2 linked regions of the Callithrix jacchus genome follow. The protein of the gene in region 2 interacts with the protein of the main gene of each other region in a pairwise test. Links are inferred from orthologs where the notes say so. Each region holds a gene or a part of one and is shown on either strand. Other genes may lie near its edges.

The links. The genes of interacting proteins can lie anywhere in the genome.
Region 1: the proteins of TRIM39 (region 2) and UBE2E2 interact in binary tests that used the Homo sapiens proteins (3 or more experiments, as listed by UniProt). The link is inferred for Callithrix jacchus from reciprocal best matches to the Homo sapiens genes TRIM39 and UBE2E2.

The regions. Positions count from the first base shown.
Region 1 is NC_133518.1:61,540,472-61,544,598, reverse strand, and holds the start of UBE2E2 (ubiquitin-conjugating enzyme E2 E2), read right to left. Parts: upstream 2,942-4,127; 5' UTR 2,781-2,941; intron 1-2,780.
Region 2 is NC_133505.1:35,060,272-35,063,915, forward strand, and holds part of TRIM39 (E3 ubiquitin-protein ligase TRIM39), read left to right. Parts: intron 1-2,731; coding exon 2,732-2,962; intron 2,963-3,644.

The DNA.
Region 1 (4,127 bases), on a different chromosome or scaffold from region 2:
CAGCTTCAGTTTAATAAAGTAAGATTTAATAAACTATGCTGAGAGTTTCAGTTGTGTATCACATTAGTTATAAAGCCACACATTCTTCTTAATATTCTTATTTATGTGCATTTACATACTATCAAATAATGCCATAGTTACATAATTCCTTATAAAGATTACTCAATGATACGATCTGAGCCATAATGTGAAACCCAAATTTCATAAACTACTGCCAAATATCAAAGGAAGCCTGAAGTAAAAATTAGTCTCACTAGAGAACTAATAAAAATACTATTAAAAATGCCCCAAAAGAGGCATAATTTCTAGTTTTACATTAAGGAAAAGAATTATTTCCACTTTTGACTTAAGATATCTTATTTCATCCAAATGTTAACCTACAAATGATGAATCCATCTCAGGCCACTGATAACCACTATGGGAACTTTTAGAAATAGTTTTCACATCTCTTTTTCAAATATTACTAATAAAAGGAATTTCTCCTGGGTTTGTTTTTTGAGTACTTGATTACAGAAAAAGTATAGAAAAAAATTGTTGTACCACTCAGGTGAAACAAATTTTCATGAAGAAAAAGTAGTCTATAAATCATTTTAATTAGTCATAAGTGTAAAATTGATGTCTCTCTAAAGTACAAATGAATAAAAATTCCTAACTTAAAGTTCTTTAAACATTATCTTCTAAATTAGCATTTTAAAATAAACTCCTAACAGCTAATCTGAGCCGATTATCTAATCTACAGGGAAGATAAACTTAAATCCCAGGGGTAGAAACAAAGAGTTACTCTCCAATGATAGTTTCAAAGATACTGAGATATATAAATTAATATGCTTATTTCATAACTCAAAGTAAAACTTGATTTTTAAACATAAAATAGTAAGGTAGTCCTTCCTAAAACTATTTTAAGAGACTTACTTTCTGTTCCTTCTTCAACACAAACTAAACCTGTATTAGCTATGTACTCTATGTTGTAATTACAGTCCTGGAAATTAGCAACATACAGTGAATGAAACTCACATGTTCCATAAAAATGAAATGATTTGGCTTGAAGTATCACTGACTACATAAAGCCAACTACAGTCATTCCATAAATTCAGACTACCATCCAGATAAGCCTTATAACAGTATCTACTAGTACGAAACTGCAAAACAAGGGTTCACTTGAGCTTTTATAACAGGAAAGCGTTTAATTCTGTCATATATATCTTGTCTTCCTACTCACGTTTCTAAACTTTTCAAAAATATAAAACAAAATAGTACACAGTATATGCACACAGCAATATCCAGCTTTAAATTTAACTGCAAAGACATTTATGCAGAACATAACAGTGGAACACCTGATTTGAGGTTAAAAGGTGCAGCAGGAGAGAGAGAATGGGGTATGACATTACATGAAAACACTCCATTTTAAGCAACAGCCTACATACAGAACTCCAAAGAGCCAAGGTGCATTCAAATTGTCGTAGTAAAGGCAAATATTTAGATTCACAAAGTCTTGACTGAATTATCACATATCTAGAAACACACTTTTTAAAGAATCAGGGATTAAATACTAAGAAGAGCGTAAAATCTTTCTGAACCGCGAGACAATCTGAGGGTAAACCCTAGCACTTCCTTTCGTACTTTTAAATAAAAATATTTGAATAGACTCTCAAGAACACACAATACAAAACGACGAGTCTTGGAAACATGCAAATGGGTCTAACAGCCACCGAGCACAGGATGATGTCTTTCTAAAGCGACCTTAATTTCCTTAACGGAAGATGGATTGGACATTTCTGGTTGGTCGTGGGAAAAAAAAGCCACAAGAAGCCACGCTTTATCTTCATTAGAAATGGTAAAGGGCAAAAGGATCAAAACATTACCAGAGAGAGGAGAGAAGAGAGGGGGAGAAGTGGGTGGAGGAGGGAGAAGGGGAAGAGGACAGAGGGAATCCAGTTTCAAACCAGGCCAGCGGAGCTGCAGAGAAGAGACCAGAGAAAAATGGGCTTCGGTTCCAAACTGTGACAAGCGCCAGGCATCACAAAAGACCAATACAACACACACCCCACACCAGGACACACACAAATATACCCCACAAGGTCTTCTCCGGGCGGGCCACCGGGGTGCGGCGGCGGAGCCGCCAGACCCGGCACTCGCCAGGAGAGACACCATGTGCAGCAATTATGCAATTAGGGAAAATAGCAAAAGATCAAGCCGGGCACTTTCCACCGTGACATTTATCCTGTACTTTTGCAAAGACTTAGTTCCAGGATGCGGCCAGGAGAAGGAAGGCGCTGGGAGGGTGGGGAAGGATGGGGAACTGAGAACGGAAGGGGGTAGAAGGAGGACAGGGAGTGAAGAGGCAGAAGGGGGGGGGATGGGAAAGAGGGGGAGGGGTAGAAAGGGCGAGAAACGGGGGCAGGAGGCTCGCGGGAGGGGGCGCAGAGAACCGGGCACGGGGAGCGAGGAAGGAGGGAACTAGGACGCCAGTGGTGTAAGCAGAGACCTGCGGCGCGGAGGGGAGGTCGGGGAAGTGGGGAGGACGCCCGCGAGAGGGAGGACGCCCGAGGAGGGGAGGCACCGGCGCGGCCCGAGCGAATACCTGAGGGGGGTGTCCGCGCAGGTCGCGGGCTCAAGCCGAAGCCCGGGGAGAGAGCTGCTGAGGCGCGAGCGGGGGGAGCCTAGGGAGGCCCCAGGGACGGGATGTCCCCTGCGGACCGTCTAGTCACCGAAAGCCGGACCCACGCACCACGCACCCGACCACGCCTGTCCCCGCCGCGCTCGCGCCCGCCCGGACTCACCCTTAGCGCCGCCGCTGCCGCCGCCCCCGGCCGTTCCAGCTCCGGCTCCTGAGGCTGCTGCCCGCGGCTGTCGCTGTGGCTGCCCCTGAGTCCTGGAAAGTGAAGCCACCACCTCTGGGAGCCGCCGCCGCCCGGCCGTCCGCGCGCGCGCCCGCGACTGCGCGTGCCCGGGCGCCCGCCCGGGAGAGACCGCGAGAGCGCGAGCCCCACGTCGGCCGTGCGGCGCCGCGCGCCTCCCTCCTCCCCGCGCCCCTCCTCCTTCGGCGCGCGGCCGCGAGGGGGCGGGGGCGGGCGCGCGCCCCGGCGGGCTGCCCCGCCGGCCGTGAGAGGGGGTGAAGAGGCGGCGCGGAAAAGTAAAGTGACAGCTGGGTCCCTCGCGCAGGCCGGGCTGTGGCGCGGTGGGCGAGGGGCGTCCCACGGGGAAGGGACGACAAGGACAGGGAGAAGTGGGGGAAACCGAGGCTGAGGGGGACGAGAGGACCTTGACGGTCACGCGCGTTAAAGGGAAACGCTGGCCGGGGGTTGGGGGTTGCCCCCAGACGGTGCAGGCAGGGGGACAAGGAGGCCTTTTACACCCATCCACCGCAGTCCTTGACCTCACACTCGCCTCGAAGCTTTCGCGAAGTAGCTACCGGGACTGACCCTGTGGACACACTAACCCAAACTCGCAGACGCGTGGGGCCCGCATGCACCCAAGACGGGAAAACTTCACGATGGCCTGGAAAGTTCGTCCAGACTGAGCCTGTCTCTTCACCCGAGACTGCAGCACGAAGGCCTTTCTGCCTTTTGGCTGGACCTAGCCCAGAATGCACACCAGCCGGTAGAGAGGATCTTCGTGCCGTTTAGCCCTGGGTTATTGAAGAGACGGGCGGTGGGTACAGGGTGCAACACTGTCAGAGTGAGTGGGAAGCCGTCTTCATGCCCAGTTGAAGTATGTGGGAACAGTTGCAGTGCTGTAGGTGGCCTGAAGGAACATTAGGTTCGCTTGTACTCCTCACCCTAAATAACCGTTAAAAAAAAAGTATGTACCTGCTTTGCAAACTCAGCTTCCATGAAGTTTCTCCCACCCCCACCTCTAGCCTCTCTTACCACTGGAGTGCTGGGTCGTTGGCAATGGGATGCAGCAAAGTAAACTTCCATCTTTGTGGAGGAAAGGATTGGAAGACATTTCACTGCTTAATTGCTGAAATTATGGTTGCTACAACACTTCATTTGATTGTAGATGTTTTAACTGCTATTTACTAAGTTCAAAATGGGTTTAGTACAAATAAATTACTCTTTTCATTTATTCAAGGAATATTTATTGATACCAGGCACTGTCTATGTGGTAGGTATATGACATTCAAT
Region 2 (3,644 bases):
TATTTGGGCATGACTACCCTGAAAGAGTAGTTTACAGTGTAGCCAGTTATATGCTTGCACCTATATGTATCAGCAATGCAATAAATACAAATTCAGACTGAGATGGATATGTGTCAATGTGATTGAAATACCATAGTAGCTTAGCTGTTGGTGATATGATTTTTTATAATAATCACTTTCGGTAAAATCCTAAGTAAAACAAAATATAATTTTGAGTTTTATTCAGCTATTGCTAAAAAATTCATGTCTAGTAAAACCACGTAAGAATTACTCTGTGCTTATACTGTTAAAATGGCATTCAAGCCCAGGCCTATGTTTTTTAATATCCAGCAGAACAAGGGCCGGGCGCGGTGGCTCAAGCCTGTAATCCCAGCACTTTGGGAGGCCGAGGCGGGTGGATCACGAGATCAAGAGATCGAGATCATCCTGGTCAACATGGTGAAATCCCGTCTCTACTAAAAATACAAAAAATTAGCAGGGCATGGTGGCGTGTGCCTGTAATCCCAGCTACTCTGGAGGCTGAGGCAGGAGAATTGCCTGAACCCGGGAGGCAGAGGTTGCGGTGAGCCGAGATCGCGCCATTGCACTCCAGCCTGGGTAACAAGAGCGAAACTCCATATCAAAAAAAATATATATATATATATCCAGCAGAACATTAGAAAATGTTACAGGTCAATTCACTATGCCGGGTTGTCTCACACATTGGAGGAGTGCTAGCATACTTGTCAGGACTTCCCCAAACATGGAAAACAAGAATATGCGTCCATTTCCAAAATATTTTCAGAGGGAGGTAACACCTTCATTAAGAACCACTGCCCTACAAATACAGTGAAAAAAAAAGAGATTACAGGTTTATAAGAGGAAGAGCCTTTTTGCTTCCTTTTTATCACAGTCATGAATGTTAAACTTACACCCATACATCACCCCTAAACAAACGCACATGCATGCACACACATGTACTCATGCACTCACATACACAAAAAGGCTGTGTTTTATTGAGGGCAACTGTGAGAATATATTTTGTTCAGATGTGCACTGAGAAGGCAGCAGTGGAAAGTGAAGCAGCAAGTGGCCCTGAACTAGAAAGAGCTAGTCAGCCTCTGCTAGGAACTAGCTTGAATCCACAAATGCCATGCTTGTCATCCCCATCCTGGCTTTGCATCCTCACTCTGTCTTCACACTCAGGCCTGCCTTTTGTTCCCTATCCACTTCTAGAATCCCACCCTCTGCTGCTCACTTTGCTTCATCATCAGTTACATGATGCTTGAGGAATCTTTCTTTGGGGAGATCACTATTTGTTTTAGTGGAGATGCAGAAGAGAAGATACACTGATAATTCTCAGAAAGTATTGTGGCTGGTGTTTGAGTCCTATGTTATAAAATTTCAGGAAGGGCTTAAGTCTACTGCTGGCTTAAAGAAATCATGTTTCAAATTTCAAGCAGCTAATTACTAATAAACTTCTGGAACCTGTTCCTGGGGTAGGAATTGCCAATTCTCTGAAGTGACTTGAAACACTTTAACAAGTTCAGCCCTGAAATCTACATATGTATATTTTGTAACAACCCATTATTAAACTCTTAACTGATTCTTATACTTTCCCAGTTGGTTCTCTGGTTTTTATCTGGTGGATGTGTTGCAATATGCAAAGAATGACAACTTTTAACTTTTAGTATTTGTACTTTTCGTTGTGTTGTTTTTGTTGTTGTTTGTTTTGAGACAGAATCTCACTCACCCAGGCTGGAGCACAATGGTGATCATAGTACACTAACTTGAACTCTAGGATTCAAGCTTTGAGACAGAATCTCACTCACCCAGGCTGGAGCACAATGGTGATCATAGTACACTAACTTGAACTCTAGGATTCAAGCCATCCATCCTCTTGTCTCAGCCTTTTGAGTAGCTAAGACTGCAGATGTGCACTACCACACCCAACTACTTTTCTTAATTTTTAGTTGAGACAAGGTCTCATCATGTTGCCCAGGTTGGTCTCAGACTCTTGGCCTCAAGTGATCCTCTCACCTGGGCTTCCTAAGCACTAAGTTTATAGGCATGAGCCTGTACTTTCCTTTTTTGACAGATTGAATTAACTAGAACTTTACAGTCAGTAACAACACAGCTATCTCTGGTATCTGTAATAGTGAATGTCATATCATTGAGTTTTTTATCTTAAATTAAAAATACGTATGTATCCCTAATGGTCACTGCCAAGTCATCAGTGGGGGGTGATGAGGATGGAGCCATTCTTTACAGAAGGAAATTCCAATGAAGCAGAAAATGAGTGTTCTGTTAAACCTTTTTTTTTTATTTATTTGTTTATTTATTTTTAGATGGGGTCTCTATCTGTTACCCAGGCTGGAATACAATGGTGCAACAATCTCAGCTCACTGCAACCTCTGCCTTCTGGGCTCAAGCCATCGTCCCACCTCAGCCTCTCCATTAGCTGAGACTACAGGAATGCACCACCACACCCAGCTAATTTTTCTATTTTTTGTAGAGTTAGAGTTTCACCATGTTGCCTAAGCTGGTCTCGAACTCCTGAGCTCAAACAGTCCAGCTGCCTCAGCCCCACAAAGTCCTGGAATTACAGGCATGCATCACCACACCCAGCCTTTGTTAAACCATTTTCAATGAAACTGGAAGTCTCTGTTAATTCATACATATGGTGGATGAGAGAAAGGCTTCCTTTTAACCCACTGACCCTGCTGATAGAACATCTTCCCTCTTTTCTCAGAGACTAGTGGAAAGTCGCCGACAGCAGATCTTAAGAGAGTTTGAAGAGCTTCATAGGCGGCTGGATGAAGAGCAGCAGGTGTTGCTTTCACGACTGGAAGAAGAAGAACAGGACATTCTGCAGCGACTCCGAGAAAATGCTGCTCACCTTGGGGACAAGCGCCGGGACCTGGCCCACTTGGCTGCTGAGGTGGAGGGCAAGTGCTTACAGTCGGGCTTCGAGATGCTTAAGGTTCGACCTTTGCCCCTGCCTAGCCCCTCAGGTCAAGCGCAGTGTAGCTTTGCACAAGTTGTTCTGTCAGCCTGGGATGCTCATTCTTCTGCTCTGCTTCCCTAAATCCAGTTCTTCTAGGTATACTCAAAGGATTTTTGCTACAGAAAAGCTGATCTGATTTCTCCCATCCCCTTCTAATCATTTTTGTGTTCTTATGTTTTGTCAGCAATTATGTGCTTAATATGTTCTAAAGAAAAAATTCAGTCTTGAGGGAAGTCTAGTCTGAATTAGTGAAAACCTATTTAAAATTTTGTAAATGCAGTTACCATTACTTTTAAGTCCTGAAATTTTATTTATGTAGTGCTGAAAAAGAACAGAAACATATTTTAAAGGATACAGGCATACCTCAGAGATACTGTGGGTTCAGTTCCAGACCACTTCAATAAAGTGATTATCTTGATAAAGCAAGTCACATTAATTTGTTGGGTTTCCTAGTGGAATTGTAATCTTTTTGATGGTGGACGGTCTTGCATCAATATTGATGGATCAAGATGGTGGTTGCTGAAGATTGGGGTGGCTGTGATAATTTCTTAAAATAAGACAACAAAGTTTACTTTTGACTCTTCCTTTTATGAAAGATATCTCTGAGCATGTGGTGCTGTTTAATAGCGTATTATTCACAGTAGAACTTCTTTGAAAA